Coturnix japonica: one gene and its partners. The main gene of each other region encodes a partner of the protein of the gene in region 3 in a complex. Links are inferred from orthologs where the notes say so. Each region holds a gene or a part of one and is shown on either strand. Other genes may lie near its edges. The genes, in order: nuclear cap-binding protein subunit 2, NCBP3 and NCBP1.

Evidence for each region.
Region 1: the proteins of NCBP1 (region 3) and nuclear cap-binding protein subunit 2 are in contact, whole or in part, in a crystal structure (PDB 5OOB), measured with the Homo sapiens proteins. The link is inferred for Coturnix japonica from reciprocal best matches to the Homo sapiens genes NCBP1 and NCBP2. Residues at the interface, in NP_002477.1 of Homo sapiens: Glu32, Cys36, Leu71, Thr74, Val75, Arg77, Leu78, Leu79, Ser324, His325, Trp326, Lys327, Glu328, Arg329, Lys330, Ile368, Val370, Met371, Thr374, Glu378, Asn415, His419, Ser422, Asn423, Gln425, Lys455, Arg458, Leu459, Ser460, Tyr461; in NP_031388.2 of Homo sapiens: Gly4, Leu5, Leu6, Lys7, Leu9, Arg10, Ser11, Asp12, Ser13, Tyr14, Glu53, Glu54, Gln55, Tyr57, Glu58, Leu59, Lys62, Ser63, Asp65, Lys67, Ile69, Tyr89, Asn96, Arg99, Tyr100, Asn102, Gly103, Thr104, Arg105, Leu106.
Region 2: the proteins of NCBP1 (region 3) and NCBP3 are in contact, whole or in part, in a cryo-EM structure (PDB 8BY6), measured with the Homo sapiens proteins. The link is inferred for Coturnix japonica from reciprocal best matches to the Homo sapiens genes NCBP1 and NCBP3. Residues at the interface, in NP_002477.1 of Homo sapiens: Lys330, Ile377, Glu378, Cys380, Lys381, Pro384, Pro388, Gln389, Ala392, His420, Asn423, Phe424, Gln425, Arg427, Trp428, Ser429, Glu431, Asp432; in NP_001107590.1 of Homo sapiens: Glu572, Asp574, Glu576, Leu577, Gln578, Ala580, Trp581, Gly582, Leu584, Ile585, Lys588, Glu589, Arg592.

Annotation. Positions count from the first base shown.
Region 1 is NC_029519.1:2,390,536-2,401,008, forward strand, and holds nuclear cap-binding protein subunit 2, read right to left. Parts: upstream 5,595-10,473; 5' UTR 5,467-5,594; coding exon 5,380-5,466; intron 5,130-5,379; coding exon 4,948-5,129; intron 4,261-4,947; coding exon 4,122-4,260; intron 3,478-4,121; coding exon 3,379-3,477; 3' UTR 2,455-3,378; downstream 1-2,454. Other genes in the region: TEX11 (testis-expressed protein 11), read left to right, coding at 5,698-5,728, 5,839-5,951, 7,379-7,463, 8,557-8,636, 9,087-9,167, 9,251-9,370. UniProt on the Homo sapiens protein: Component of the cap-binding complex (CBC), which binds co-transcriptionally to the 5' cap of pre-mRNAs and is involved in various processes such as pre-mRNA splicing, translation regulation, nonsense-mediated mRNA decay, RNA-mediated gene silencing (RNAi) by microRNAs (miRNAs) and mRNA export.
Region 2 is NC_029534.1:3,961,313-3,971,111, forward strand, and holds part of NCBP3 (nuclear cap-binding protein subunit 3), read right to left. Parts: intron 8,505-9,799; coding exon 8,439-8,504; intron 7,900-8,438; coding exon 7,794-7,899; intron 7,031-7,793; coding exon 6,905-7,030; intron 5,378-6,904; coding exon 5,249-5,377; intron 3,171-5,248; coding exon 3,097-3,170; intron 2,158-3,096; coding exon 2,049-2,157; intron 1,307-2,048; coding exon 1,207-1,306; intron 889-1,206; coding exon 782-888; intron 306-781; coding exon 20-305; intron 1-19. UniProt on the Homo sapiens protein: Associates with NCBP1/CBP80 to form an alternative cap-binding complex (CBC) which plays a key role in mRNA export. NCBP3 serves as adapter protein linking the capped RNAs (m7GpppG-capped RNA) to NCBP1/CBP80.
Region 3 is NC_029547.1:62,574,300-62,584,711, reverse strand, and holds the start of NCBP1 (nuclear cap-binding protein subunit 1), read left to right. Parts: upstream 1-5,283; 5' UTR 5,284-5,389; coding exon 5,390-5,432; intron 5,433-5,544; coding exon 5,545-5,630; intron 5,631-5,768; coding exon 5,769-5,869; intron 5,870-6,846; coding exon 6,847-7,003; intron 7,004-8,323; coding exon 8,324-8,431; intron 8,432-8,972; coding exon 8,973-9,094; intron 9,095-9,614; coding exon 9,615-9,684; intron 9,685-10,412. Other genes in the region: TSTD2 (thiosulfate sulfurtransferase/rhodanese-like domain-containing protein 2), read right to left, coding at 478-603, 3,686-3,794, 4,729-5,006, 5,142-5,240. UniProt on the Homo sapiens protein: Component of the cap-binding complex (CBC), which binds cotranscriptionally to the 5'-cap of pre-mRNAs and is involved in various processes such as pre-mRNA splicing, translation regulation, nonsense-mediated mRNA decay, RNA-mediated gene silencing (RNAi) by microRNAs (miRNAs) and mRNA export.

The DNA of each region.
Region 1 (10,473 bases), on a different chromosome or scaffold from region 3:
ACGCCAGCCAATGGCACGGGGAGGCCGGTGATGCGCTGGGCTCATGTGCGACGCACGCAGGTGCCCAAGGGTTGGATCCAGAGCCTCAACTCAGTCAGCATGGACTATGATTATGCCCTTTTGGAGCTATGCAGACCACACCAGCGCCCGCACATGGAGCTGACGGTGGCTCCAGCAGCAGAGGAGATGGCTGGGAAGAGGATTCATTTCTCAGGGTTTGACAGTGACCGGCCAGGAGAGCTGCTATACCGCTTCTGTGGGGTGGAGGATGAGACGGCACACCTCATCTACCAGCACTGCAATGCCAGGCCTGGCGCTTCCGGCTCTGGGGTGTATGGCAAGGTGTGGGATCCCATGCAGCACAAGTGGGAGAGGAAGGTGATTGGCATCTTCTCCGGGCATCAGTGGCTGGAAGTCGGGGGGGAGCAGCAGGACTATAATGTTGCTGTTCTCCTGACTGCTCCCAAGTTTGCTCAGATTTGTTATTGGATCAAAGGGGACTATAAAAGCTGCCAGAATTAATGAGAATTGGAACTTTCCTCCTCCCCTCCCCGGTGCAGATGGCTCTGAGTGTGGTGTTTGTGAGTGAGCATGAGGCTGAGGAGTGTGAGGAGCATTGCCTGCTGAAACTGCTCCACTCACTGCTAAACTTCATTCTGTCCTGGAGTAATATGGTCTCTGCAAAACACATGGGATCCAGTGGAGAGACGCAACTAAGCCTGAGGAGTGTACAAGCTCCTTTGGTGAACTCAGTGTCAGAGTCATTTGCTGAAAGAGCCACTGGGTCTGGTGGCTGCTGCCTGCAGCAGGTTAACAGCTAGCAGTTCTGAGAGGCAGCCACAGGCTTGCTGCCCAGCTGCACTTTTTCTCCTGGGTCACTTCAGGTGTCTTGGTTTGTTAGCTGCACTGCCAGCTTGGCACTGCCCCAGTTCTGTGAGGACAAAGGACTTTTTCTTCTTCTAATGGTGCCTTTGTGTGCCTAATGAAAGATGCCTGAAAAGCAACCCTGGAGCCTGAGGTTTTTGGGCACAATGCTCCAGCAAGTACAGCCAGGGCAGGAGGGGCTGCTCCAGCATGTTGGCAGCCCTGGTCTTTGATCACACCCCTGGCAAGAGTGGCTCTTCTGACTGCTGCAGTGTGGTTCCATGTAGGTACATACATGCTGCAGCATAGGCTAAGAGCTGGGATCACCTACTTACTTGTAAACCTTCTCATCTCTCTTTAATTCTCTGTGGGATGGATGGCTTTAGAAGGAAGGCATTAACTGCAGCTGTAATATTTGAGATGAATTCTTTTAAGCAAATACACGTATTTGAATAAATGTCAGCACAAATCTCTTCGCAAATGTTATGCCTAAAGGGGAAGTGCACAGCTTGCCAACACTGGTCTGGGACCTGCTGAAGGAGGGAGGTACTCTCCCTCCAGGCTGAAACGAGCAGGACATGCAGACCAGTGCAGAGAAGAAATTATAGTATCTTGAAGAGCAGGGACAGACATGCCTGCCACAGTCATGAAACAGCCCAGGCGGGTGCTCGACTGAACAGATTTCTACATGTTCTATCAGACACATAGGAATGACATGACCAACATGCCATATCAGGAGCAAACTGAGATCTTGCCTTGTTTCCCTACCTCATATACGTGAGATTCTGTAGCTAACAGAAGAGTTTCACAGCAGATTTCCCCGTATTTCTCACATTTTCCCTTCTGCTAGCTGTTTGCCCAAGCAATTTTTCTATGTAATCCATATCCCCTCAGAGGACCTCACATGATGCTGCTCTGCCAGGCTGGCAGACAACTGCTTAGATTCTTCTCTTCAAATTCAACATCCTGCTCCTTTCATTGCATCTCAGGGGCAGCTCGTATCACAGGCTTGTCAACCCTGTCATTTCTTCAGTCAGGTGAGGTCTAAACATGTTGCTCCTTCAAGACTTGTGACAGCTGTCAGAATGCAGCAACCTGACTTGCAAAACAAGCAAGTAGGAGACATCTCAAGGCATTAATGCTACCATACCATCCTCCTCAGCTGTAATGCGAGAGTTAAAATCATTAAATTACATGCCTGGTCTACACATGGGTGTGCAATAGAACAGCATGTACTATCTTGGATGAGACAGTGCATGAAATATCATGATTACACATTACTGGACAAGGAACAGCTACTATTATTTACATCACACTAAACCAAATTAGTCAGAATTTAATTTGTCCAATGAAACCAGTAACCCTGGCTGGGAGGTTCTAGAGGACAGATCAGTGGGGGTTTTAATCTTCTCTCTTCCCTTGTTGGACCCTGGGAAAAATTTAAGAGTATCAGCCATGCTTCTCTTAAATGGGGAAGAAAGTCTATCATGAACACAGGGGAGTTTCTGGTTCCTCCTTCTCTTAAATGCAAGTTACACTTTTGTATTGCTTCATATATGTCTCACACTGTGGAATAATTGACAAGATCACAAGTTTTCCTGGAATCTGTTGGTATGAAACATAAAGACTACTTATTCAGAGCATTTTATAAGCAGCTTCCCTCTGATACCAGCCATCAGCTATTGCAAAGCACAAGAGGAAAAGCTATTAGTAAGAGGGAAGCCAACAGAAATACAGCAAGACTTGTGCCCTCCTTTAGAATGTCCCCCATTTTGTGTTTGCAAGTGACAGCAACTTTAAAGTACCATCAGGAAATGTTCCCTGCAGGTCTTGTCATAGAGCCACAGACTGCAACAGGTACAGGACTCACTGTTTATTTAAAAAATTGAAAGAAACTTTTAAGAAAACCATGCCGAACAGTGAGGATCTGAAAAAGCAGGCAGCACTGGGGCATCATAAAGGCTCTGCAGGCCCTGACCAACCCAAGGTCTAGATGTACAGGCAAGCACCTCCAAGTGGACAGCGAGACCTTGCTCAGCTTCTCTCATCCAAATAGTGAAACTGCTTTGTAAGCAGGTGAACTTGTAAATTAGAACTTTGAAACTTCTGTGCATCCCAACAAGGTGCCCGGGCACCTACAGGGCTCCAACAGTGGCACGGTTCACAGAGTTCTATCTGAGAGCAACCACAGCTGCAATCATGGCTTGGAAGAAGCCAACCGCCTAGCTGTAATGCAAAGAGTACATCCTAACATGAGGTGCGTGTGACATGCTGCATTTCTTCTTACCAGAATCCTGCAGAGTTGTCCACTTGTTTCCCTTGTTGCCCTGTATCAGCACAGAACATCCTCTCTAATCCAGAAGAAAGGGGGAATGAACACATGTATATCCACAGTCTAAGGAGGGTCACCTTTTGCTGGAACTTGGATCTCACTCCCTACCCCAATCCAAAACGCAAGAACACGGCTAGCTCAAGAAGAACAGAGCCCTCTACGAGCTAGAACCCATGAGGCAATTAGTAGACTGCAGGCTGTTGATTTGCCTTCTGCATCTGTATAATCTTGCCAAAACCTCCTCTTCCCACATCGTAGTCTGTCCGGTATTCATCTCGCACCTGGAGCAAGGCAGTAACACAAGTATTAGCATCATGTTAGGCTTCAGAATCATCACCACTTCCTTGCTCCGTAGTCTGAGAAATGAAGTTCAGGTGAGAATTACTTTGACTCAGTTTGAAATCTCTTCAAACAATCCACCAAACAGATGGTGCAAGTGACAAATGAGGATACATCTGCTGTCAGATCATTTTAGAGGGGAAGCAAAGATCCCAAAATATTTTGATTCAGCTTTGTCATCCAGCTTCCAACTCTCTGAACTGCTAAGCTTGGCCTCCAGAGCGTTTCTCCCTTCCCCAACCCTCCAGAAATCTGTAAGGGAAATTTAGCTTCTCACAGGGCAAACTGATGGATCATGAATCCATCATGGATCTAGAAATTGTGCTCCCTCCCCATTCAAATTCTGCATCATTTAAAAACTGCTAGCCTGGAACAGGGAAAATTTCGCTTGTACTGTGAGGAGTCATGGAGTCCTGTCCAGCTGTAGCCATAGTTATGCTTCCAGCTCTTTATACCAAGGTAGCACTAGTTACCAATATCACCTAAAATTCATTGCTGGGTCTGCACTTCTGAATGAGACAAAACAAACAAAACAGCACTGCCCTAGGGGGACTGTATTCAAGGCCTGAGCTGGTATTGCCTTTACCTGTCCACCAGTCTTTCCTCTTCCATACTGCCGTCCCTCCTTGAATCCTGCATCCCAGTCTGTTCGAACAATGCGGTCATCGAGCCGTGTGCCGTTGATGAATCGCATTGCGTGCTCAGCATCTGCTCTTGTGTAATATCTAAACCATACCATAAGGAAAACTAAACATGCCACTTTGCTGCCTGTAGGGTAAAAAAAACACCAATATCAAGCCATTGTATTTAAGAAGCAGAAGAACCTTTCCTGTCTTCCAGCCTTTTCTACTTTTCCCGCTCTTTTCTATGGGATCAAAAAGCTGTACTCTATAAATCCAAGCTGAAAATAGCTCCCACTCCTTCCTCAGGTTCTGGCTGCAATGTTAGTACCTGTACAGACAAGAAACAGCTTTGGATCACTTATTTCACAAGTAGATAAAGCAAACCGTTAAAGCCTTGCTAAGGGCAAGAAATCTGATGCTTTTTTTTTTTAATACCACATTAAACTCAACTGAATTTGAACAGGAGGCACCGGCCTCACAGGAGAGCTCTGCAAACAGCTCGCAGCACAACGTGTACGAGCACATGCCTTGTGCTTGGGAACAGCACCACGGATCTCCCTGCTGGTTCTGCAGGTGTGAAGCCAAGGTGAGAACGTGAACACGTGCCCATAGCTTGGGCCGTACAAGGGCTCAGCATCCACACACGACTTTCACCTATGGCAATGCGGGTGGTTTGGGTGGTGTTGGGAATGCAGGCAGCAGTATGCCTGGAAGGGAGCCCCGTGAGTTTCACTCCTTTCAGGGTTTTTGACAGCTGATCTTACTGCAAATAGGGCCCAGAAAGGATACTCCACGAAGCAGAAGCCGCAGGCTGTTTTCTTCACCTTGTCCAGCCCCATGATGATCTTCTTGACATCGCCACACTTGGAGAACAGCTCCTGGATCTGCTCCTCGGTGGTGTAGAAGGACAGGTTGCCCACGTACAGCGTGGAGGAGATCTTCAGGAACTTCTCCTGAAGCTTTTTGCTCCCCTGAGGGCAAAGCGGAGCACAGCACGGGCTCACACCGTGACGGGGCCACACCGAGACGGGCTCACACCGTGACGGGCTCACACCGTGACGGGCTCACACCGTGACGGGGCCACACCGTGACGGGGCCACACCGTGACGGGGCCACACTATGGCACATCACATCCTGGCAGCCCGGCCCCGCCCCGCCCGCAGCCCCCTCCCCAGACAGGCCCCTCGGCCTCAGGCCCCGCTGCCCCCGCCCCGCGCGCACCCGGAAGTGCTGGTCCCGGTATCGGCTGATCTCGCAGTACGAGTCGCTGTTGAGCCCGCTGAGCGTGGTGTGCAGCAGCCCCGACATCTCTCTGTCTCGCCGGCTCCCGGCAGGTCCCTGATCCCGGGATCCTTCCACAACCGCCGCGACTCCCGCAGGACAGCGGCCTAGCGGGCAGGCCAACCGCCGCGCAGCCTGATTGGCTACACGGGGCGGAAAGGCGGGGCGATCGTGCCGAGCAGCCAATCACCGCGCGCCGCTTCGCTCCCTGCATGCAGCGCGGGGTGGCCCGGCGCTCTCCTCAGGGCGGTGTCGGCCATGGTGGGCGGGCGGATGGCGGCGGCGGGAGGTACCGGCCGCTCAATATCGCCGCCCGGGGGCTGCGGTTGCGGCTGCGGCTGCGGCTGCGTAGCCGCTCCGACGCTCAGCCTGACGTTTCCCTCCCGGCTTGTCTTGCAGAGCTGCTCCGTGAGCTGCTGAGGGAGGAGGCCCCGCCCCGCATCGCGGCCCTCACCGAGGAGCTGTTCCAGGCGGCGGGGGCCCTCAGTGAGGCGGACGGCAGCGCGGCGGAGGTAGCAGGCCGCGCACCGCCTGTCCTTCCCCGTGCATGGGGCGCTCAGCACTGCCGGCTTGTCCGCAACGTTGGGTTATCAGGGTTTATTACCTTTGTGCAAAGCTGCATCAGCTTTTAACGAGAGTTTCCAGTCCATAGCTTTTGTTGTTTATCTGATAACATCAGAAGTTTCTGGGTTGCTACTGAGGACGATTAAACCACTTAATCTTGTTGGAGTGTGTCCAGAGGAGAGCCACAAAAATGACCATGGGCTTGGAACACCTTCCTGTGAGGACCGGCTGAGAGCTGGGGCTGTGCAGCTTGGAGAAGGGAAGGCTCAAGAGGGCTGAGAGCAGCCTGTAGATAGAGGCTGTAAGAAGGAAGGGGACAGACTCTGTAGCAGGGTCTGTTGTGACAGGACTAGGGGAAATGGTTTCAAACTAGAAGAAGGGAGATTTATATTGGATATAGGGGAGATGTTTCTTACTGTAGGAGTGGTGAGGCACTGGCACAGGTTGCCCGGAGATCAGTTGGGTGCCCCATCCCTGCAGACACCCAGGGTCGGGCTGGGTGGGCTCTGAGCATTGACAGAGCTGTGGGTGTCCCTGCTCAGTGCAGGGAGCTGAATCAAATGGCCCCAAAGGGTCCTTTCCACCACTTACAATTCAATACAGGCCAAAGAGTTAAAGTCACACTATAGATGTGTTTTCAAATCTGATACACTTCTCTTTTCCAGCCCTTTCTAATTTCACAACATCTGCTTACAATGTACATAATGTGTTCTGAAAGCTGCCGGGGATTCAGTTGTGTTTTGGATGTGGCGATGTGCTGTTGCACAAATTTTGTATGTATGAATGCATGTGAGAAAACTTCATCCCAGATGGATGGGGTAAATCAGGTCATGTTTTGCTAGGCCTGGAAAAGGACTTGACAGAAACATATGTCAGGCTGTTTCAGCAATACAGCAGATTAATGGGATTTGTTCAGGAACATATTTGAATGTTTCTGAAGTCCACCACTTCTCAAACAGGATTTGCTGTTTGGTTTAACTTCAGATCGGAGCTGAAGGCACTGATGGATGACATGGCATATATGTGCTTGCTGCTATTGATCTTATGATTAATTAGCTCTTCTTAGTTTCAGGCCATGGCAGCCTTTGATTTGCAGCCATGTTCTTTCCTACCTTTGTCATCTCAGAGACTCTCAAACGTTCAGAAGATGGGAAATAGTCTTTTAGAAGACTGAGAATATGTTGTGAAATATCCTTGTGAAAAGCGTGTGATCCCTGCTAACTGCTTCCCAGTCCCTTGGAGTACCCAGTCTGTAAAATAGAATAGTCCAAACATTGTGCCGTGGTAAACATGAAAGATGGAAGCTTTTTCAGGAGTAAATTTCAACTTAATCCAAACGCATGATAAAATTAAATGGAATGGAATTCTCTCTCAGGTTGAAGAGGGTGCAATAAGCCTGTGGAACTGGGCTGTAACCAAACACACAAGTTCTGTCATCAACGATGAGCAAAGAGCTAAATGTATGTATGCATTCTTTTCCTTTCTCAATGTGTTTGTGTGCTGCAGTGTGGAAAGGAAAAGCTCCCTGCTGACAGGTATATACATAGTGCTGTGGGTTGTTTGGATGTTTGCCGATAGGGTATAGACAGAGGAAACTGAGCAGCTGGACTTACACAAACAGTTTGGGAAGGATCACCATGGAATAACAGTGATGTTCTTTGTGGCACAGAATCAGAGTAGGTATTCTCATCATTCCCTCTTTCTGTGCCAGTGCATCAATAAAGAGGTGATGTTTCCAAAGGAAACTCTGCATTGCCTTGTGATGCTATTGTGAATGTGTGGACATAACACTGATGTAAATCTTTGACTGTCAATTTCTATCTATAGCCTTCCATATACAGCCATCTATAGCCATCTACATACAGCTGGTGGGTTTGCTTAGAGCTGGGGAAAAGCAAAGTGAGCTTTTGGTCTATGCTGTCAACCAGTTCTTTATGTGGTGCTGCAGGACTGCAGTATCTGGCCTACATTTTTGTCCTAAGGGATAGCGGTTAAAATTAAGTATAATCTGCATCATGTTAAGTGATGTCAGGTGAAGGGAAAAGGGTAAGTTTACACAAAATAAGTGATAATTGTTGTAGAACATAATGTTCTCAGATCTTATATCACAGCTGAAGGGCCAGGGAGAGGCTATTTTAAATACATTAAGTGGTGTGTTTTCTATCCCCAGTGTATAAAAAAGGCCAGAAGATACTTGTGCTTTTTACTTTGAAAACGTAAAGATTATTAAACTTGATTTCCCTACTTTGCTGAAGGCTGTTTTGAGGTGCTCGAGGCATGTTACAGTGAGCACCTGCAATGTAATTAAGTCTTTGAATGCCGTGTCTTTGACTTAAACTCTTTCTAAAGTGTTTAATAGACGTTTTGAGGAGAATATCTTGGTATCTTGGGATGGATTTTTTTCTTTTTGATGCCTGAGAAGCAATTTAAAGCAGCTTGACTAAAATTTTAATTCTGAAGCTTCCAAAAGTTTCTCTCTCATAATTTTAAACTGACTTTCTCAACAACAGCAACAAAAAGGAACTTAGAAATATACGCGTTACTTTCTTGCAGTGAGATTTGTTGCTTGCAGGCTGGTGTACCTTTGTGAAGGCAGCGATCCTCCAGAGGGAACCATTCGGAGGCAGATTTTGGTAAGGCTGATGGCAGGTGAGCAGTGAAGTACAGCTGGTGGCTGTGGGAAACCTTGGAAACCTATTGCAGTTACTTTGGAAAGTGAGTGAGAGATGCCTGTAAATTATGGAAAGTGAGTGAGAGAAGATAACATGCTGAAGGTGGGCCCGTGTTATCAAAGGGATGCCTTGCTGAGTCAATGCAGTTAGCACCACATCTTTGTCGTGTGTTAAGACGTTGTAAGAGCAGCACGTTCATTTATTTCAGTATCTTACAGTGTTGTATAGTGGAGCACCTTAAGCCTCGTGCTGCAAGTAGAGTTAATTCAGATGTGAGAGACACTTGTGACAAACTGAAGAGCTGGAATACCTCTCACCTACACTATATATATATCAGTAAGAAGGGATTTAACACTGGCTGTCCTGGAAGTGATTGGATTTTCACAAAGCACCAATCATTTTCTCCTTCAGATGTCGATGAAAACTGGTAAAGGGTGGATAGATATTGGCAAAGCTGATCTTGCTGATGGTTTCCTAGAGATTGCTATAAATGTAAGTTCTTTTCTGATTCTAGTTCTTCATAAACACACCTATTTGTGACCTCCATGGGGTGATGCTTAAGCTTTGTTTTCCAGAGCATAGAAAAACTGTATGCGAAATTACGTAAGGAGGGCAATGGTGAAGCAGATATTCATGTGTGCAAAGCTGACGTGGAGAAGGACCTCTTCAAAGTGCTCTCTTATCAGGCTGAATCGGTACGTGTTCCTCCCAGCTCTCTTTATAAATCCCTAGGGGGGTATGGAGAGAAACTCTGACCCGTTAATTAGTTGTATGAATGCATGGCACTGCAGGCTTGCTGAAGGATATATTTCCTTTGGTTAGATGTAAGGTATCAGATGTGATGTTTGAATGTGGTGTTGCAATAATGTAATGGGTTTTAATTTGCCTAATTTATCGCAGTCATTTCTGCTGCCTTGTTTATATCTTCTCGTTCAGATTTGTTGCTCTGTAATTTGGGTGTTTATACAACAGCTGCCTTTCTGAATCACGTGTCAATTCCAAAGGTGACCTGTGCTTGCCCAAGGAAGGGGATAGAACTGCCTTAGAGCCTAGGTCCCTATAACTGCTTTTGTGTAGCATGTACACAGCACAATTGGTCATTTCAAAGCACTCCTCAGACTGTGCTGGGATTTGCAACTAAACTGTTTGAAAAGCAAAAGAAGGTGCTGGTGGTGGTTCATGTCTGACAAGCAGATGTTCTGAGCCACAGCTCCAGAGTTTTCTCTACCTTACAAGTTTCTTGACTCTTATGAGCAATATAATCAAAGGTATTACTGTTCAATGTTGTTGGATAGAAACCTTCCTATACATGGATACCCTCCTTTCCATGAACCCCAATACATGCTGCTTTTCACATATAAAGGCCTTGAAACAGTGGGAGAATGGGTAGAAAAAGGCAATATTTGAAAATAATGAGTTCCATGACATTTGAAATTCTCCTTAAAGTCTCAGCCTCTGTCATCATACAACGAGGTAGGAATTATGATTGATAATTTAAAGATAGAAGTCTAGCTGAATGTGAGAGGTTTCAAAATATGCTGAGTGTTTTCCAGGGGATCAGTAAGGCAGATTAAATCAGAAATTCTGTGTTTTGAGAGGCATTGTCCTGATTTTTGCTGCCTGACTGAAGCTTCTGAGTACTTTGTCAACACTGCAGACTATTATGGACGTATGGGTGTAAATATGAGATAATTCAGCTGCTTCCATTTGCTGATAGCAGCGCTGATCTCAGAATCCAGAAGGGGAGCACTGTCTTCAAAACAATGAAGAGCTTCCCCAAACAGACCAAATCAGTGGC
Region 2 (9,799 bases), on a different chromosome or scaffold from region 3:
AAGAACAGGGAACCTTTACCTAATATTTTTCAGTTGTGATTCCACTTCATCTGCGTACATTGTCATTTTCATGCTCTTTTTGGGAGAGGGGGTCGATATCATTTTCAGTTCAAGATCATAGTCCATTTCATCAGAATCAGATGCACTTGCACTCGATCGTCTCGCCGTACCACGGTCTCGGGACTGTTTGAAAGGTTGTAAATCATCACGGTACTCTACAACCACTCTGTCATCTTCATCCATATCCTGAACTTCTTCCTCCTCCTCTTCCTCCTCGATAGGCTCCTCGGGAACATTTACCAACCCTACAGCAAAACAAACTGATTCTGAGAAACTGAAGCTTTTCACTTATCATAGATAAGAACAAGGCAGAAAATTATTACTGTAAAGAAATGATGCGATAGAAATGAGCCTTTGTAGTTGTTCAAGGCTAAAAAGAGAATACTTTGCCAAAATTCTAAGTGGAATCTGTCCTACAGAGTAATCTAAGAGGGAGAAAATCACTACAGGAGAAGAAAGCCCGTAGTGTTCCACTACCTCAGAATACTGCTCAAGCATGTAGCTGGACTCAAGGTATAAGGTATGACTGCCTCTTGCTGCAGGGGCAGTTCATACTGAACTAAACGTAACAATTCCTATCATCTTGCACAGCTTAATGTGACACCTGTTGGCTTATGAGAATCTTCTCAACTCCTGTAAGTAGTAATGCCAAAAATAATGCATCCAGCCCTCCACTCCCCCAGTTACACTTGCACAGCTTTGACACACTGTCAGCAATTACCAGAGTGCCGATGTTTGTAAGGAGGAGTCAGGCCAACATCATCCCCAATAAGCGTCCTTTTCTTTATCACATCCCGATGGATTCGACGTGAATGGTATCTCCGTTTCCTGAAACACCATAAGAAGAATGACATTCCTATCAAAAAGAAACGAGCTGTAACCAATCCTGGATTAAGCATGTGCAATTCTCACTCACTTCATAACAGACATTTATGCCTGAGAACTGTTCTGCATGTGTGTACTGAAAACTTTCTACCATCACAACAAAATATTCCCCTAGCAAATACATCATCGCTTTGCAGAAACATTATTCACACTTCAGATATATCTACAGAAACTAAAAGGAAAAAAAGATCAAGTCACAACAGCTTTGAACCACCTTGTCTGAGTATCTGCAGCCTCCCAATTCCTCCATCCCACACTCACCAAGAGTTACTAAGAATCCCCTTCATGCCTCCATAATTGGGATTGCCATATTTCATGTAATACTGGCTTCTCCTTGCAGCTCCCAGTTCTTTTTTGTCATCTGAAAAAAATATATGTTAAAAGAATATTTCTTTTCCTCTTTGAATTTACCTCACTAGCATCCAGTCAGACACAGAGAGAGAAAGGAAGACTGAGTTATCTCCTTACAGGTCCGTGGTATTTCAATTTCCTTCCCAAATGATACAATTTTGATGACACCTCAACTGAAATTTCTCCTACCACCACAGTTTTATTTGTGCCCAATTCCATGGAGACTCTGAGTTTCTGCATGTCAGCTTAAGGGAGCATTACACCCCAGTGCAACTGCTGGAGGCCACACTCACCTTATTCCTGACCTTTCTTTTCTTTATGGATCTGCCACCTTCCACATGGCTCAGTAATTACGTGCATTTTCATTTTATTCAAAAATACAATTTAATAACTCAGCTGCATTAAGTGACAATTTCCATCAGTACCTCATAAACATCACAACTGATTTTCAAGTTTATAACATGAAATTCACCTCTGTGGAGAAGTACACCATAAAACCTATTCTATGGTATTGGGAAGGAAGAATGCCCTAAACCCAAGATAATATTTTATGTACAATAATCTCCATAGAGCACGAACTGGATTTAATTCAAACTGAATGTGTATTCATAGCAAAATCTTAATACCTAATAATTAGCAAAAAACCTAACAGTTATGCAAATAAAAATTAGGTGCTTCAAGTAATTAATCAGTCAACAAATAAAACTGCAACAAGCAATCAATTCATTATGCTTGTTAAGCTGTTCATTTACCTTTAGTAGCAAATCTCATGAATAGCTTGTTTCCTTTAGCCAGTTTATTGGCAGGGCGAAGATCATTACGCAGGAGAGAATCCTCTTCTACCTGGGTGAGGGCATCCAACTTTGGGGGCAAAAAAGGTATTTTGGACTCAAAAATAAAATTACTTTTGAATGAAAATGGATTGCTCGCAGAGAAGCAATCCCTTGGTTATTAAATTACTTTCCATGTTCTGTTCAGACTAACTCCACTTCTTTCTTGACAAGTTATCACGTATTTTAAACTTTTTCTTGCCAAAAGGTTTAAAATATTTTTGTCTCTTCCTCCCTAACACTTGTTCTGATTATTAAATCAGTTCTCAAATGAAGCTGCAGTATGACTGCAATGAAGAAAATAAATAAACTCGGACACTGAAAAAGAAAGACTTGATTGCTTTTGTTTGTTTCATCTACAAATGGTTTCACCAATGGGGTCTCTGCCTTCACACAGTGACTTACAGGCATTATTGTTATTATTACTATTTATTTATAACTGCTTTCCATAAGCCAAAATTCAGATTTCCATAATCTGGGTGAATGTTTGCTGAGCCATCCCTAAAGAAAATACTAATGGCACCCATTATATAAATTCAACCAGTGAAGATTAAACTACTTACAAAACATCAGTGTGTTTGCTGACGCCCACACAAATCTATGGGCAGCCTAAGTCCCCTTTTTTTCCCTACTTTATACACTGTTTTCTATACTGAAAGGAAACTGCCTTCCACTATTGTTTTTTCATTATCTCCTTTAACAGGCAGGCAGGCAGTCTAGATAGAGCAGGCAGCCTAGCTCTTACATGCTGACTGCCCTATTAGTCTTCAAAAATTACTTTCACAAAGCATTTTTATGAGGCTATTCTCACCAGCAGAACATCTGCACTTCCTGCCTTTTTCTCCACCTTATTTCCTTCAATAATTAAACTGTAAATTATGAGCATGTATGGTAAAAACTATAATGTCACGAATACATCAGTGAGAGCAAAATGTCCATAATGGGGTTTTCATTTTCTTTCTATACTGACCTCAATGTCACTTGGATTTTCATCCTCAACCTCGCCTTCTTCTGTCTCATCATCAGTACTTTCCTCCTGTTTTTCTAAAGAAGAAAATAATTGGGAAAAGAAATCTACATTTTAATGTTCCAGTTCATTTGAATATTAGTATCTAAAGTCTCTGAAATCAAACTGAAGGGGTTTATCAATTCCTCTGTGCAGCCTAGAGAGTAATCAAAACAGTGAATGTCTACAGAAATCTGAAGCACACATGAGCACAGAATAACATTAACCAGACAGCCCCCATACAGGTAAGTGCCGGAGGCAGCGTGCACGGATTATCAATTTACTTATCTGAAAGCAAATGAAACTGCACTGCAATTTCAAAGTATGACAGAGATCAGCAAAGACAAGACTGCAAAACGTGGATCAAAGCCTGTTTCCTTCCACCTCCCTTCTAAATGCTGCAAGTACCTACAGGTATCCAGTACTCACAATGTGAAGCAGGTTACTACTCAAAGTAGGGAGGGCAGTGACTCAGTTCTGAAGTGAAATAGCTAACAGAGGAGCACACACTTCCCAAACTACATATACTATGTGTTGTCTAAATAGGTTTTTCAGGTTTTCTTTTGTTTGGTTTTCTTTTGGCTCACAGAAGAAAATTATTACGGAAATTGTTTTTGAGCCTCCCAAAAAGACACATGACTAAAAAACCCACCTCTATATTTCACAGTTCCTTCTCTTAAATCTCCTCTGACTGAACTTGACAACTTCTAATAGAGAACCACAGCTATTAAAACTTGACAACTACACCCAAGTTCAAGGGAAAAACTAAAGCACAATGAATCAATCTGATCCCAAAAAGAACTTCAGGAGACAAATTAGCCAAAATCAAACATTAACTGACTTCCACCAGGGACAGCATTCAAACATCAGGTTTTATATAAGCTTCTCACTGTAAAGACATGTCTCCTGCAACCCTAAATGTCTACACGGGCCTCAAGTTCTCATCTAGAGACATACCTAAGCCAGATTAATATATCTGTATGCACCCCACACCTTAACATGTGATCTGCTTAGCTTGTACTCCATCCAGTATCCCACTTTTCCAGCTGAACAGGTGAGTAAGATTATGTAGGAGGAATTTAAATGACATGATTTTGATGATGTAACACGTACACCGCAGCCAACAAGATTAATATTAAAATATACATATCTTTATGCTCTATTTAAAAAAGACATTCACTAATCTCCCTAAAACTTTGTAATAGATCTTGCATTACCAATATTTTAAAGTCACATGGATGGCGGAGGAACCACTGCACCATAGAGAAAAGCAACAAGAAGAAAAGGGAATGAGTTAGAAGCATCCACAAGTTTAAAGCCCAAATTTTAACAAACAGGCTTTTGGTAGAACTGTGAATATAGAATAGAGAAATTGTCCATTTGCGTTTTGTTCAAATGCTTTTTAAGCAAAATCTGGGAAGAGTTCATAAATAAAACACCCCCCTTCACTTCGTACTCTTTAGGACAGTACTTTGAACAATGAAATCACATTGATCTGACTCTTAATTTAAACCACTACAATGAATTTCTAACTAAGGCATTCAGATACCAAATTTAGCACAAGACTGAGCTGTACTTTCAGTGCCCTTTTATAAGGGACCTTTCAGAGTCTTTCTGCCTTGAAAGAAAAACAGTCAAATTTAGACTGCTAAACACAGAATGATATACACAGCAATGTGGATAGTATACATGAAGGGTGGTGTGGTATCAAGCCAAAGAATAAACTGCAGTATTCCAAAACTAGGATATTTTCTTACACCTGCTGTTTCCACAGTTAAAATATCCATCCTTCCACTGCCTTTGCACACACATAACACAGACTTATTTCCGTGCAACGTGGACCACTACAAATACCACATCTGGATCTGACCCTGCATCTAACATGTTCAGTACTGACCAAATTACTGCTGTCGGTCTAACTCCAACCCACCTTTTAAGAAGTAGTTTCTTCAAAAGGTTTCCAAGATGAAAGCCTTTTTTAAAGTGGCAGAATACATTTACCTGCAACTATATGATAGAAGCTCCTTCAGTAATTTAGATTACGCAGTACCCAAGCACAAGTTTAAAGCTTAATTGATTTAATGAGATGACATCTGTATATGCATATCTCATCTACCTTTCTTGTTTTTTTCTGCTGTCTTCTCTTCACTGTTTTCTCTGCCTTTTGGTTTCTCTTGATCAGGAAAGGAACTCATGTTTATTAGAGCCCGTGTTGCTGTTACTTCATCAAGCCAGACCACATTGCCTGTGACATACAGATAGAAACACACACAAAAGTAAAATGCGCTTTGTGTAAACAAGCAGTCACATGCACTGCCTTAATGCAGGGAAACTGCAAACAGAAGTGTCAGAAATGTTCTTATCGTGGGACATGACTAAAATGTAATCAGATCCATCTCTCATGAGGGAATTCCTGTTCTTTAACCCTTGTTCACCTGGGGGACACACAGCTTTCATCCAGTTACAAAAACACACAACAACTGATCATAACTGAGCCCACCAAAATGCATAACTACACATATATATCAGAGCAGAGATTACTACAGTACTGGATAAGAGCCACTGAATTTCATGAATGTGTTAGCACAGAAATGCAACTGAAGATCAAAAAGAAAAAAAAAAGATAAAACAGCAACCCAAGGATTATTTCTCTATTTTTATTTAAATTTAACCAAACTTTGGACCTTAGCACATTACTCTGTTAACCGTTTCCAAAGAGCAGATAAATAAGAGACTGCTCAAGCACTTTAAAGAGGCTACACAGTACGTAAGTTAACAACGGGAGTCAGTAAGTGCTTCACGTATACCTCAAGTATCAGCAGATGCTACTGAAGTAAAACTTGTAAGGCCCATTAAGAGCATTTTATACATATTGATGCAGAACCTTTTATCCTTCTGGCAATCTCACTGCATTCACACTCCTCACAACAGCCCTTGCTATGTGGATTTGCATTCCCCTTCCAATCTATGCACGTCTCATTCATCAGCCACCTTCCTCCACCCACTAATTCTTCCCTGAGAAGGAACTAAACAAATATAGCAACAAGTCTGCTCCCTCCCAGCACAAAGCCATACCAGCCTCTTTTAGCTGCATACAGTTAATTTCCTCTCTCAATATTATCCTCTGTGACACAAGCAGATACACTATTTGTGCCAAAACGTAAGCAGTACCATACTTTTAGACCATTTTTTTTTCACGTCAGAACTGGCAAGCTACTTTATGTTGTTCCTTCCTGATAATTTCAGATTGTCAACAAACAGTTCACAGTATCACAGTCTCGTATGGGTTGGAAGGGACCTTAGTTCTTCATCGTGTTTTCTTTACTCCATTTTCTAAGAGCTACACAACTTACTTCTCTATGCGTTGATATTCTTCCCTCTTCAGCTTTTCTAATTGTATTAATTAGACCACCATACTTTGAACAGTACCACTTTAACTTGTAATGAACTCAATTCACGTCCTCCACAAGTGACTCTCCTGCCCTGACACTTTAATCACTGTCCACTCTCTTATCTTCCAGTGCATTTATTTTACTCTCCTTCAACATCAGTGATTTGTGTAATGGTAAGCTATTTAGGTCCTTTTAAAATCATTTTCTTTCTAAATACTCATTCAGACAGTGGGTTTGATTTTCAACACACACTATTAATTCTTAATAAGTCTCATTTGGCTAAGGTTAATGAAACGGAAACAGATAGACAAAGCCACAAAGACATCCAAGGTACAGCTACACTGATATAAAGAATGACAAACAAGATTCCATTGACTTACATGAAGTATCATCTAACCACTCAATGTGAGCAGGAGGATACTCTTTGAAATAGGCAAAGATGTCCTGAGTACTCATTTCATCCACCCCACAAATGTAGATTGTGTCCAGTCTCACTTTAGGAATTGCTATAAAAGAGGAAGAGAGAGAAAACTGACACTCATTTCTACAAAGCAAGTTTTTACGTTCATAACATATGGATTTCTAAAGCAAACATTCAAAATAAGTTAAAGGTGTAAAAGAATGATGTTCACCATTCTACAACACCAGAATTTGAGTTATTCCACAATGTAAAATGTTAACTGAGAATTAAAAAGAGAGAGAAAGGTGAAGGGACTGAAAAACATCAAACTGCCTTACACAGGTTTTTTTCTCTTTTTTTCTTTAAAATGCTACTAAAGTTCTTCCACTACGTACCAAAGAGCATAATACTAATGAGGCCCATGACCAGGACATAGTACAAGTTTTGTGCAAATCTCATGGAGAGATTTTACAGGCCTCAGCTCAGCTGGTCCAAGCTGCCAGCTGGACAAAGGCCTTGGGAACTAACTGGATGCCAAAAATGCCTATCTGTTGTGTGTGCACATCTCTCAGCTTATCTGCTTCTACTCCAGCACATCCAGCTTGCCATCTTACAGCACATGTGCCATCACTCATGGAATCTGATCTTTCTGTGCACAGGACACAGAGTCCTACACTCGCATACAAACAGTGCCTAAGGCCTTTTCAAGGATGTTAAATACACTTAAGGCAGCATCGGTCCCAAAGACAGATCTTGGACACACACACATTAGGTGCCACTAGGAGATAAAACAATATAAATTAAGTAAAGGAACTGTGAGGAAGCAAACAAAGAGACCTTTCCTTCTTAATTGCTGGATAAAATCATACCTTTCTTCATCATGTCTCGATCCAGAGCTACATTCCTTTGGGCAAGATTCACTTCAGCTCGAAAATGGAAGCGCTTTGCTCTTTGTTCCTTTTTCTCAATCGCTTCCTGCACAATGTGAAACGATCCAGTCAAAACAGGAACAGCACAGCCTTCCCAGCAACTGACATCATAAGACTGGATATTAAAATACAACTGACCAAGCAGCAACAAGCTATGTTAATATTTCTCTTATTTCTGAAGAGATCTGTATCTTTCAGAACACTAAAAGAACTCACTGACATGTTACTGTGCTATTTAGTACTTCTAATGCAAGTCTGGCAACGTAATGAGGATCAAAATGCGTAGAAAATAAAATATCCTGAACCCATGACCAGTTTCTATGATGGAACAGTAAGATTTATTTTTCCTTCCTAACAAATGTACAGACTTTGTACACATTTTCAGGTTTTGGACACAAATTTTGCTACTTAGAAATCACAAGAACCCACCCAGATGTTGTTTGCAACCAACATGAAGGAGAATTGTCTAGTTATTGTGTTTTCATAATAGGAAGCTTCTGTGACTCTTAGGAAAGAAATGAAGTGTTTCCTCTTTTCCTGCCGCAATAATTAAAACACTTCAAAGAACCACAGGACAGAAATTACCTTGGATGTTACATCTATTCCAGTAATGAAACTTCCAGCTTTGTTTTCGTATCTCCTACTAGTGTCCTGAAACAAAGCAAAACAGTGATGAAAACTCAATGAATGCTGACTGCAACGTAATCACTAGGCTAAAACAAATCTGGCCTATGAGAAATCCATCCTTACTTCAAGCTACACATCCATACAGAGTCAGGTATATGAGCACTTAACCTCACTGACATCAGTGAGAGTTAAAGCACATCAAATGAACCCAGATTCCTCTGCTATGAGAAACGTGTGCTTCTGCAATAACTGCTGTATTATTAATTGTTCAATTGCTCACATTTTTACTTTGTCTCAGCAACAGGGCAGAAGCAATACAAATTATCCCTGGTTTGATACATGACTACAGACCCAGAGGAAGATTGACAGCACTGACGAACAAACATAAAACTCATTTCCACCAATGGAGACCACTGAAACCTAAGCCTGTAGTGAACAACACGAACCCTGGAGTAGTGACCCAGCTGTGTCCTGTCTGCATGTTTCACAACTGCTTCATTCTGGAACCCTCAGAACCATCTCCTAGGGAAGGTTTGTGACATGAGCAACGTGCCTTGCTATGTCTAAGGATAAATATGCTGCTTACCCTTGTGCTCCAATAATTATTTTGGCTAAAGGCCTTTTTACTAAAAAGTAGGTCAGGCTCGGTTAGAAAACAGTCACACACCGAGCCCAACAGCTTTTCTTAGTAACAAACTTCCCTTAAAGTTACAAGATATTTAAAACAGGAATAGAATTAAACGGAGAACAGCAAAATAAACGTTTTTCAACTGGAAAAAAACAAAACAAAACAACAACCAAACCACTGCTGTCTGGAGGTGTCTGATGGAGCACAAGGAAGTCCATACGGTTGGGTGCTGTCTCTTAGGCCACATATTCACAGAATGACCCGGGTTGGAAGGGACCTCAAGGATCATGTAGTTCCAACCCCCTGCCTGGCAGGGCCACCAAACATACACCTTTACTAGATCAGGTTGCCCAGGGCCCCGTCCAACCTGGCCTTGAACACCTCCAAGGACGGGGCATCCACAACCTCCCTGGGCAGCCTGTTCCAGGGCCTCACCACTCTCCTAGTGAAGAACTTCCCCCTGACATCCAACCTAAATCTTCCCTCTTTTAACTTAAAACCATTTCCCCGTGTCCTGCTATTGTCAGCCCTTTCCAAGAGTTTACTCCCCTCCTGGTTATAGGTTCCCTTCAGGTATTGAAAGGCTGCAGTGAGGTCACCCCGCAACCTTCTCTTCTCCAGGCTGAACAAACCCAACTCCCTCAGCCTGTCCTCATAGGGGAGGTCGGTTGAAGCTGAAGCACGTTGGTCA
Region 3 (10,412 bases):
TCGATCAACAACTTGAACTTATGAACTTTGGACTTACTGTACAGGCTTAATAGGCTAATTAATATTAACTTCTCTGCCCTGGGCAGCATAAAGTTGGAGTTAATTACACATGTGATGCATGATACAAATGGGGAGTCACATACAAGGGGGAACATGTATTAGGCAGACTGGGAAGTCTGTAACCTCCAAGTACTTCAGCCAATGAGGAAAGGAGAAGGGACCATAAAGTCAGAAGGCAGGGATACAAAGGAGGCTGTGGAGGCACTTTGAGACCCCAAGGGGAAATGTCCCTGTCCCTTTATTTGAGTCAAAAAAGCCAAAGACTCTCCTCTGTCCATTTTTGGGGGAAATAAAGATTATTGAGCATGCCTATTTAAGCAGAATTTTTCCCATCAAGTATATTATTAATAATCAGTGTGCTCATTTTTTAAAATGTCCTACATTAACAGGGCCTAAAAAGAAAATAGTTTTTCATACCTTGAAATCATCTCGACACAAAATGTCTTTGAAGAGAGGCTGAGCAAGCATAACTTCAATGTAGAGATTGGTAGCTACTTTGCTTCCACCAACTGTTCCATTAATTCCTTCCGAAGCAACTCGTACCTAGAAGGCAAGAGCAGAAGAAAAGGCCTACAGCTTAGTACCAACAGAAACAGATTGTGGTGAAAATGAGCAAAATATGATTCACTTATGAAAGGCAGACACAGAAGTAGGTTTGGAAAAGAGACTAATGAGGCAGGGATGGAGACAAAAATGATTACAGTGAAGCTGAGCAGAAAAAAATAAAGCATAGTAAAACATAAACTGGAATTAAAAAAACAAACAAACCAGGAGCTGCCTTTATGCTGTTTCAAAAGACTGACAGAGAGGTAAGTTTGAGCAATAAACAGAGATAATAACTGGTTAACTGGTAGGGTTACTCCAGGCAACCCAACAGGCTCCCAAGCAACCCTACATGCTTGAGTTGGAATAGCTGAAAACTGCTTGATGGAAAGAGACCGATGGGCTGTCAGCTGAATATGAGCCATCAGTGTGCCCAGGTGACCAAGGCCAATGGCATCCTGGCTTGTATCAGGAATGGTGTGGTGAGCAGGACTAGGGAAGTCATCCTATACCTGGCATTGGCACTTCAAGTACTGTGTTCAGTTTTGGGGTGCCCAGTACAGAAAGGACATTGAGGTGCTGAAACAGGTCCAAAGAAAGGCAACAAGGCTGGGGAAGGGCTTGGAGAATCAACCCTATGAGGAGTGTCTGAAGGAACTGGGGCTGTTTAGTCTAGGGAAAAGGAGGCTGAGGGGAGACGTTATTGCTCTCTTCCAATACCTGAAAGGTGCTTACAGCGAGAGTGGGGCTGGTCTGTTCTCACTGGTGACAGGAGGGGAAATGGCCTCAAGTTGCACCAGGGGAAATTTAGTTGGCTATCAGGAAACACTTCTTTACAGAAAGGGTTGTTAAGTACTGCAATAGGCTCCCCAGGGAGGTACTTGGGTCACCATCCCTGGACGTGCTTAAAAACAGTTTGGATGTGGTGCTCAGGGACATGATTTAGAGGAGGGCTGTTAAGATCTGGGGTAGTATGGTTGGGTTGTGGTTGATCTTGATCTCTAAGGTCTTTTTCAACCTGAGCAATTCTATGATTCTATGATTAACAAGCAAATACTGCAGTCAGCATTCAAATTCCTACTGAAAGTCTGCTTCAGGAAGAGCAGTGGGATTGTGCTCAATGACTCAGATAGCTGAAAGGAAAATGTGAGAATGTATAATACAGCATGCAGTACTAAATGTCAGCATGAGTCATTTCACCTACATCACTGACACAAATCAAAACTTCTGAGGTGAAATGGGGAAGAAAAAAGACTGAACACAGGAGTGGAAAGAAAAAAAAAGCATTTGAAAAGGCAACTGCTGAAACAAATTGGAAAGGGAAAGAAAAAAAGACTTTCTTCCTCCCCTATCCAGCCACTAGAAAAGATACTGAGCCAAAGAAAAGAAGTTAGTGCATCAGAGGACATTTTACCCTCAGACTCTGCAGATGTGGACTAAGGGAGATGTCTTCTTTTCTTTCCTTTTGAGTAAGGAAGGTTGGGTCTGTAGAACATGGAGCACTGAACCCATTCTGCTTTAAAGATACCCACCAGCAGCAGTAATGCACTTGAACACAACATGGCTTATCTTAAGGTACAGAGGCAGGTCTTCTACTATTGGCATAGAAAGAAAAGCTATTCAGGAAGACAGGTCATATATCAAAGTAGTGTCCTGATCTGAGCTGCCCTCTTGAAAAAGTCTTCCTCTCTTAGGAGCTTTTGAGCCCAGAATTTGCCTCTGCCCATAGCCTCCAGTAGCCAGCTAGATGAGCCAAGTGCCCTGTTGGCCCAAAATGAAACTGAAGCTGAGAAAAGTGAGAAAGTAACGTGACATGCCAATGAGTGTCAAGCAGGCATTCCCTTTATTACAACACTGAGTGTGTATAATACGTACATGTGCACTGAGAGAAGCAGAGACTCCGTATTTAAGGGTATTGCATATACACACTCATTACACTCCAAAGACATGGGCAGAAATCCCCCTTCTACTCAGCTCTTCTGAGGCCCCATCTCGAATGCTGCATCCAGGCCCACTAAGATGGTCAGAGGGCTGGAGCACCACTCTAGAATACTGAGGGAACTGGGCTTGTTAAGCTTGGAGAAGAGAAGGCTCCAGGGAGACCTCATTGTGGCCTTCCACTATTTGAAGGGAGCATATAAACAGGAGGAAGAACTGCTGTTTACAAGGGTAGATAGTGATAGAACAAGGGGGAATGGTTTTAAACTAAGACCGGAAATTTAGGTTGGACATTAGGAAGAAATTTTTCACATGGAGGGTGGTGATGCACTGGAACAGGCTGTCCAAGGAGGTTGTGGATGCCCCATCCCTGGAGGCATTCCAGGCCAGGCTGGATGTGGCTCTGGGCAGCCTGGTCAGCTGGGTGGTGACCCTGCCCACGGCAGGGCCTTTTCAACCCAGGCCATTCGATGACTCTATGAAATTCCAAGAAATAATTAACACCTCTGGTGGCCATGGGATGAAGCCAAATAGTCATTCTCATGATAAACTTCCAACCTTTTAAGGGGGGGGGGGGGGGGGGTAGTCCAAACCAGCTCGTACTGGTGTTTTGTTGAGCTGAGGCATCTGTTTCACTCTCCCATCTTCAACAACAGGACATCTATTCTACTTTCTTATCTTCACTTTCTTATCTTCACTTGTTAGTTTCACAGCCTCCACATTTTGTACTTGAGCTTACATTTATGCAAGCATCCTGTCCTTCAGCTTGTATCTGCTCAAGTTATGCAAAAGGCTGTTCTCACAATATGGAAAAGCTGTTCTCATGATTCAAAATGAACAAAGATACCATGTAGGAAGGAGCACTGCTATGTTGTGGTGTGACCAAAGCAGTTAGTTGCTCGCTTTTCACTCTTGACAATTCTGAATTACAACTTGGTGCCATGACCCCAACCACTGCACTTGGTATTGACACATCTAGCAGACCCCAATCTGTGTGTGCTGCATGTCCAGCTTGGCCTTCAGGGCATGCTGAACTGCACTTGTTACCTCATCACAAGGTAAAATGAGCATCATTGATCACAGAGCCTACAGTACATCACTCACTCACATGTTCATATCTTAATATATCTGCCTAGAACCTTACCTTGCCAGTGAGATGCAGATGCTGGCACAGAGCCTTCTGCCAAGCACAAAGTTTCTCTGGATCCTTCACCTCACAGTAGCAGTAATACAGAAGTACTTCTCCCACCTTGCTGCCCAGAACACACAAAAGATGAACAAGTAGGAAAAGGATGTTAGAGTTGAAAGCACAAACCCTTTAAAAAGCTGACGATTTTCTCCTGGTGGATGTAACAGGGGAAAAAAACACAAAATTCTGGAGAGGTTAGAACTGCTGAGTCTAACTCATTTCCAAGAGAAAAGATATAAACTAAGGGTAGTTCCAAAATTCCTTCTTCTATGAACTAAGGTGTGGTGTCCCACCTTCTGGCTTGCCTGAGCTAGACTGACTGAAGCAGAATCATCTTGGGCCACATATATGTAAGGCTGATCCAAAATTAAGGCCTCCTATATACTCTCAGAAAATACAGCCCACGCAAAGAGCACAATAACACTATTAGAACAACTTATCACCTAAAAAACACTGTTTTTCAGCATTGCCACCAGCATTAGCTACACATTTCACTAATGATGAACAAGAGGCTGCATGACAAGCTAGGGATTAATTCTGGAGCAGTCCTCATAAAATGTATAGAATAGTTTATATCACAGAATCACAGAATGACCCGGGTTGGAAGGGACCTCAAGGATCATGTAGTTCCAACCCCCCTGCCTGGCAGGGCCACCAAACATACGCCTTTACTAGATCAGGTTGCCCAGGGCCCCGTCCAACCTGGTCTTGAACACCTCCAAGGACGGGGCATCCACAACCTCCCTGGGCAGCCTGTTCCAGGGTCTAACCACTCTCCTAGTGAAGAACTTCCCCCTAACATCCAACCTAAATCTTCCCTCTTTCAACTTAAAACCATTTCCCCGAGTCCTGCTATTGTCAGTTTATGCATGTAAGTATCTCATTGCAACTCAACACATTCCATTGAAAACTTATAGCTCCTATTCTCAGGTTCCTGTAGCAAAATAGAAAGCAAGAGTACATATTCGTGCATAGAGCATAAGCCACACCGGCCTTACCTGGTCAGCTCGTCGCTGCGTAGGCCGCTGGTGTCGGGCAGCACCTCGCAGAGCTCTCCACAGGCCTGTCCTCCCGCCCGCTCAGCACACACCGCCCTGCTGATGGTGCCATGCCCTGCCGCCTGCTGCTCCACGTCCCCGCCGTGCTGCGTACCGACGTGCCGATGGATACCACGGCGCTCACGGAACGTCTGCCGGCAGCACCTCCACCACACGGCCGCCCCGCTGCACGGGTAGGCGGCCGGCACCTCTTTGGCCTTGACGAACAGGGAGAACGCCTGCAAGGCAGACGGCCGTTACCACAGGCGGCCGGTTACCACAGGCGGCCGGTTACCACAGGCGGCCGGTTACCACAGGCGGCCGGTTACCACAGGCGGCCTGGAGCCCCAGCGCCCCGTGCCCACCCTACGTACCTTCCTTCTGGCGGAGGCACGCTGTTTCCTAGCGGCGGCCGCCTGAGCCGCAGCGCTGCACCGAGATACAGCCTCCGTCTGCGCCTCGCCCGGCGCCATCTTGCTCCTTCGGCCCCACCCCCGGAAGAGCTGTGGGGCTGAAAGCGGAACTGGAAGTGGAGGCGAGGCCGACGGAAGCGGGCGGGGAAGGAGCGCGGTCGGCTGAGTCCCGCTCGGCGCGGCCCGGTGTGTGCTCGTCACTCAGCGCCATGTCGCGGCGGAGACACAGCGATGATAGCGATGACAGCGATGGTGAGCGATGGGTGCCCCCACGCTTCTCCCTGCGTGGCCCTGTGGTGGGTGGGATGGGTGGGCGGCAGGTGAGAGGCTGGGCGGTTAACGGTGTGGTCGCTGTGTGGAGCAGGGCAGCCCCACAAGAGGCGGAGGACGTCGGAGCCGTCCGAGATCGAGGAGAGGCTCGAGTCGCTCATCTGCAGAGTGGGGGAGAAGGTAGGACACAACGGCGGCCGCGTGGCGCACGGAGCGGGGCTGGTGTACTGCTGTATTCAATGGGCGCTGTTAGACTAAGTGTTGTCTGGTTGATGCTGCAGCATTTCTTTATTTCTTCCTTTATTTTGCCTTCTGTAGAGTAATTCATCCCTGGAGAGCAACTTGGAGGGCCTAGCTGGTGTGTTGGAAGCTGATCTGCCAAATTACAAAAGCAAGATACTAAGAATTCTGTGTACTGTGTACGTATGCAGGCTGGGGGGGACTGAGAGGTGCTTGCTTTCCTTGCATTGGAAACATTGGAGTGTTTGAGGCAATCTGAGCATTCTGTGGTGGTTTTTTAGTTCTCAACTGTTGTTACCTTTCCTACAAACAGAAGAAATAGAAGGGATGAACTCACTGAGTTCTGGGGGTAATTTAAGGAAAATATTTCCTTGCCGTATGTGAACTTGAAATGTATACAAGGCTTCAAGCAGAAGAGAATCAGCACTGTTGCCCAGCAGCAGCAAAAGCACAATGCTGGGTAACACACTGCCCCCCAAAGAAATAGAGGCATTGAACCTGTAGGCTGCCAGTACCTCTTGCTTGTGATGCCTTCCTGTGGCCTGTTCCTCTGCTCTGGGCATGTGGTGGTGCTGATTAATGAGCCCATCCTTGGGAACACAGAGGGGCTGCTGGCAGCACTCCAGTCACTCCCTATAGTGGTAAAATGTATTTGAAAATATAGAGTTAGTCTACAGGTATGCAAAAAAGGTTGAGGAAAGCTAGTTGTTTACAATAGGACCCACCATTTTCTGTTTTTTCCCTACAATCTCCCTAAATCAATTGCTTTGACTGAAGAAACTTAGGATCAAATTTATCAGTGTAAAATGTGTAAATCTTGTGTAGTCTTAAAAGAGCGTTTTGCATCTTTGAATAAATTCTATCACGTTACTTAGCCCCATCTCCAGGACACTTAGAAATTAGAAATAAATAAAAAGCAAATTACTTAAATTAGTTGCAAGTGACATCTGCTTTCCTAAAAGTAATCCTCCCTCCTAGAAAAAGAAACAGTCTGAAAGCATTAACCATGGGAACAACTACAGATTATGTTAATGTTTTTTGTTACTTCCACATGAAACAAGTTTAGCTTACTATAAGCAAATTCTGGGCTGGTATGCTGTTGTTGGTTGGTTTATGATGAATAAGTGCTAACGCTGTGTTTCTCTTTCTGTGTCAGTGCACGTCTGTTACCAGAAAAGCTTACTGTTTACACAACACTAGTTGGGTTGCTGAATGCCAGGAACTACAACTTTGGTGGGGAATTTGTAGAAGCCATGATTCGTCAGCTTAAAGAATGTCTGAAAGTCAATATGTACAATGAAGCTGTGCATTTAGTAAGTGTCTCTTTGTGTTAGATGTTTTCCTCACCTTTTTTCTTTCCTCCCTTTCACCTTTCCATGAGAACTTGGCCTTTCTACATGTATTACAGTCTTTAAATTTCATTGATGCTTGCTTTTATGTAGATAAACTGAGAGGAATTGTATGTTATATGAGGAGTACTTCCTTCCCAAGGGGAGAAAAATCATGTCACAGTTGCAGACTGTGTTTCAAATGTGTATTTCCTCAGTTGCAAGTTAATTTGCAGCCAAGGGAGGTCATTCTGCTCTTGCCAGCCTTTTCTGCAGCAAAGTATAAAAAGTGGATGAAACTCATGCTTTTTGATATTTTGTATTAGTTGCTCTTTTGGCTCCCATGGAAGGGGAAAAAAAGGCTCAGTCTTAAAACTAGTGTTTCATGACTGCTACCAGGCCTGTGTTATTTGTCCCCCAAAGAGGGGTAGTCAGAGAAAGCAGACAATTGTTAGTGCTTTCTCTGAAGCCACTTGCTCAGCTCTCACTTCAGAGATCTTATAAGAGAGAAGACCAGTTGCAAGCTACACTGCTTCTTTTAAAGCCCATTGATGAGGGAAGAAAGAAGAGAACAGTTCCCACTATAACATGTTCCCAAAACTTTTTGTAGTACCCCAAACCTTTTCTACTTAAATTGCCATTTATGCCGGTCTGGATTTCTTGTTAGTATGCCTCCAAATGAATGATGTATTCCTGCCATGAGGAATGTTTTCATTGCCAAGGCTGATTCCTAGCCTTGCTCACCTTTCTGAGACCTGACAATGCAGTCAGCTTTTACATCAGCTTTCCCTTTGTAGCTATCTGTGTTTATGAACAAATAACTATGGAAATTTGTCTCATCTGAAAGACTCTAAATGATGCCATTTCTGGTTCACCTCTGGACTCATGAAGAAGTTGATCAATCCAACTTCAGCATTTAAGAAGGCATTTGTGGGTTTGTTTGTTTGTTTTACACTTGGGGAAGAGAAAATGTGGTTGTTCTATATGTTTTGTTACGTGCTTGCATGCCTTTAAATGCATATTGGTGTTTCCCACCCTGCCATTATTAGGAGTTGTAGTGTTACAGTTATTACGGATGTTACAGACATTATGGACCTCATGGACATTATAATGAGCAAACTGTGCTTGACTGTGCTTACATTGTTCCTTGTGGTTGCCAGGGGTACCTGTACAGTATGCAGTATTTCTGCCTTCCTAGTGCTGAATGATTACCTGTATCTTTGGTTGTAGTTGTTGAAGTAGTGTTTATCTCGAGCAGCCAGCTAAAATACTTTCATTGAAAACACTTTTTTTGGTCTTTTTTAGGTTCGTTTTCTGTCTGATCTTGTGAATTGTCATGTCATAGCTGCACCTTCGATGGTAGCTATGTTTGAGAACTTTGTGAGCGTGACACAGGAGGAAGACGTACCACAAGTAAGTCAAAGATTTGTAGGCTCCTCCAGGGCTGTTTTCAAGGACATCATTACTTTACCATTGCTTTTGTACTTATGCTTGGCACAGGATGGTTTTAGAGACAGCAACCTAGATGGACTGGCATCTGCATGTTCCTTGATATGAGTGAAAGTGGCCCCTGGCAGTTGGGAAATACTTATGTATAGTAAGGAAGTGTGAGCCTCCATAGTGAGGTATCTGCACTGAATGAATCTTACTTTACCTTGGCAGCTGCACAGTGCCTGGCTTGTTCTGCCAGGTTTGTTTACACTCAAAATATAAAGATAACTGCAGGAAGACTGTGAAAGTGATTGTTTTCAAGCCTGATTGTCATAGTTCAAGTTAAAAGTTGTACATTTCTAGCAGTAATGTATGTTTTTTCTTCATTACTTACCTACTGAGTCTTCAGCTGCTGATCTTTGTGTCACCACAAAGCAGTAGTTTAAATTAAAATGGAATGTATGTAGGAAATCTTCTAGAGCTTAGTTGTGTGCTTAAGTCTCAGAATATTTCTTTCCTGTAGGTACGATGTGACTGGTATATGTTCGCATTTCTGTCATCTTTACCTTGGGTTGGAAAGGAATTGTATGAAAAAAAGGATGCTGAGATGGATCGTCTTTTATCACAAACAGAAAGCTATCTGAAGTAAGTTGTAAAATATTCCTTCAAGTACTTATTCAGGATAACAATAACCTTGATTAGTGTTCATTTAAAAAATACCAGGTCCTAGGTCTAAGTTGTTTTCGTTGGGATTGGGGGGAGAATGCATGGAGAAATGTAAGAACACTGTAAAAATGGACAGATGGAGTAATCTACCTTTTAAAATTTAAAAGTTTAGTTGCATTGTCTATTGTTAGGGTATGGTGACAGTCTTGTCCAGCTTGTGCTGGGACAGCTGTAGCAGTAACTGCTGCAAATACTGAAAGGTTACCTTAGTACTGTGCAGTGAGACTAGATTTTGTCTAGGTGATTCAAGTTAGGATTGCTCTCAGGATATGATTGCAGAGATGATAATTAAAACTCTTTTTTTTTTTTCTTTTGCATACTAGACTTCAACAACTGAAGAGATTAAGTAGTAGGGTACTTGTTTTTTCTTTTTTTTTTCCTTATTGTGACTGTACTAAAAATGCTGTTAAGGGTTAGGTTTTCTTTTCTGTGTAAACAGACGCCGCCAGAAGATTCACGTTCCAATGTTACAAGTCTGGACTGCTGATAAACCGCATCCACAGGAAGAGGTGAGTGGGTTCTGTATTGTATTCTTTGAGAAAGTCTGAAAATCTGTTGTGGTAGAAGCACAGGCAGCTTCTATTCAGACAGCTAGAAGATTAAGAGGTACCTCTGAAAGTATTTGTGCTGTTAATTGTCTCCTGTTTGTCATTATTTAAAACAAGTTCTAGGTAAGGAGTTCCTGTCTAAATCTTAGACCTAAGTTGTGGCATGTTATGGGGTGAGTATTAGGTGTTACTAAATGAAGAATGGCTGTAAGCTGTGGCAGTGCTTTTGGAACTGCAAATAGAAGGCTTCGTGCTACTTTTGTGAAAAGCAAAGTGTAATTCCATGCCCCATAGTGTCTTCTCTTTGCTAGGAAGGAGTCTTTAAAGTGGCTTTGCTTTCTCAGCACTAGGAAGTACTAAACAAATGTACAGAAACTGTACTCAGCAGCTTCTGTGCCATCTTTCTTCAATTAAAGTAAAAATACTACAGAGTGGAGGTGGTATCTGTGTAGCTTGGTGTAGAGTTTACCTTCTCTGGTTTTGGTTTTTGTTTTTCTTCTTATTCCTCCCCCAAGTTTGGGGGCAAACTTGGTTGAAAAGTGTGATTAAAAATTAAGTGTATCTTCAGGGAGTTTTTTGACTAGTAATCCTTTGTACATTTTTCTCTGTTCTGATTAAATCAAATCCCTGTTTTTAAATCTCAACAGTCTTAACAACTGTCTTGTTAATGCCAATTTGAAGAAATAGGA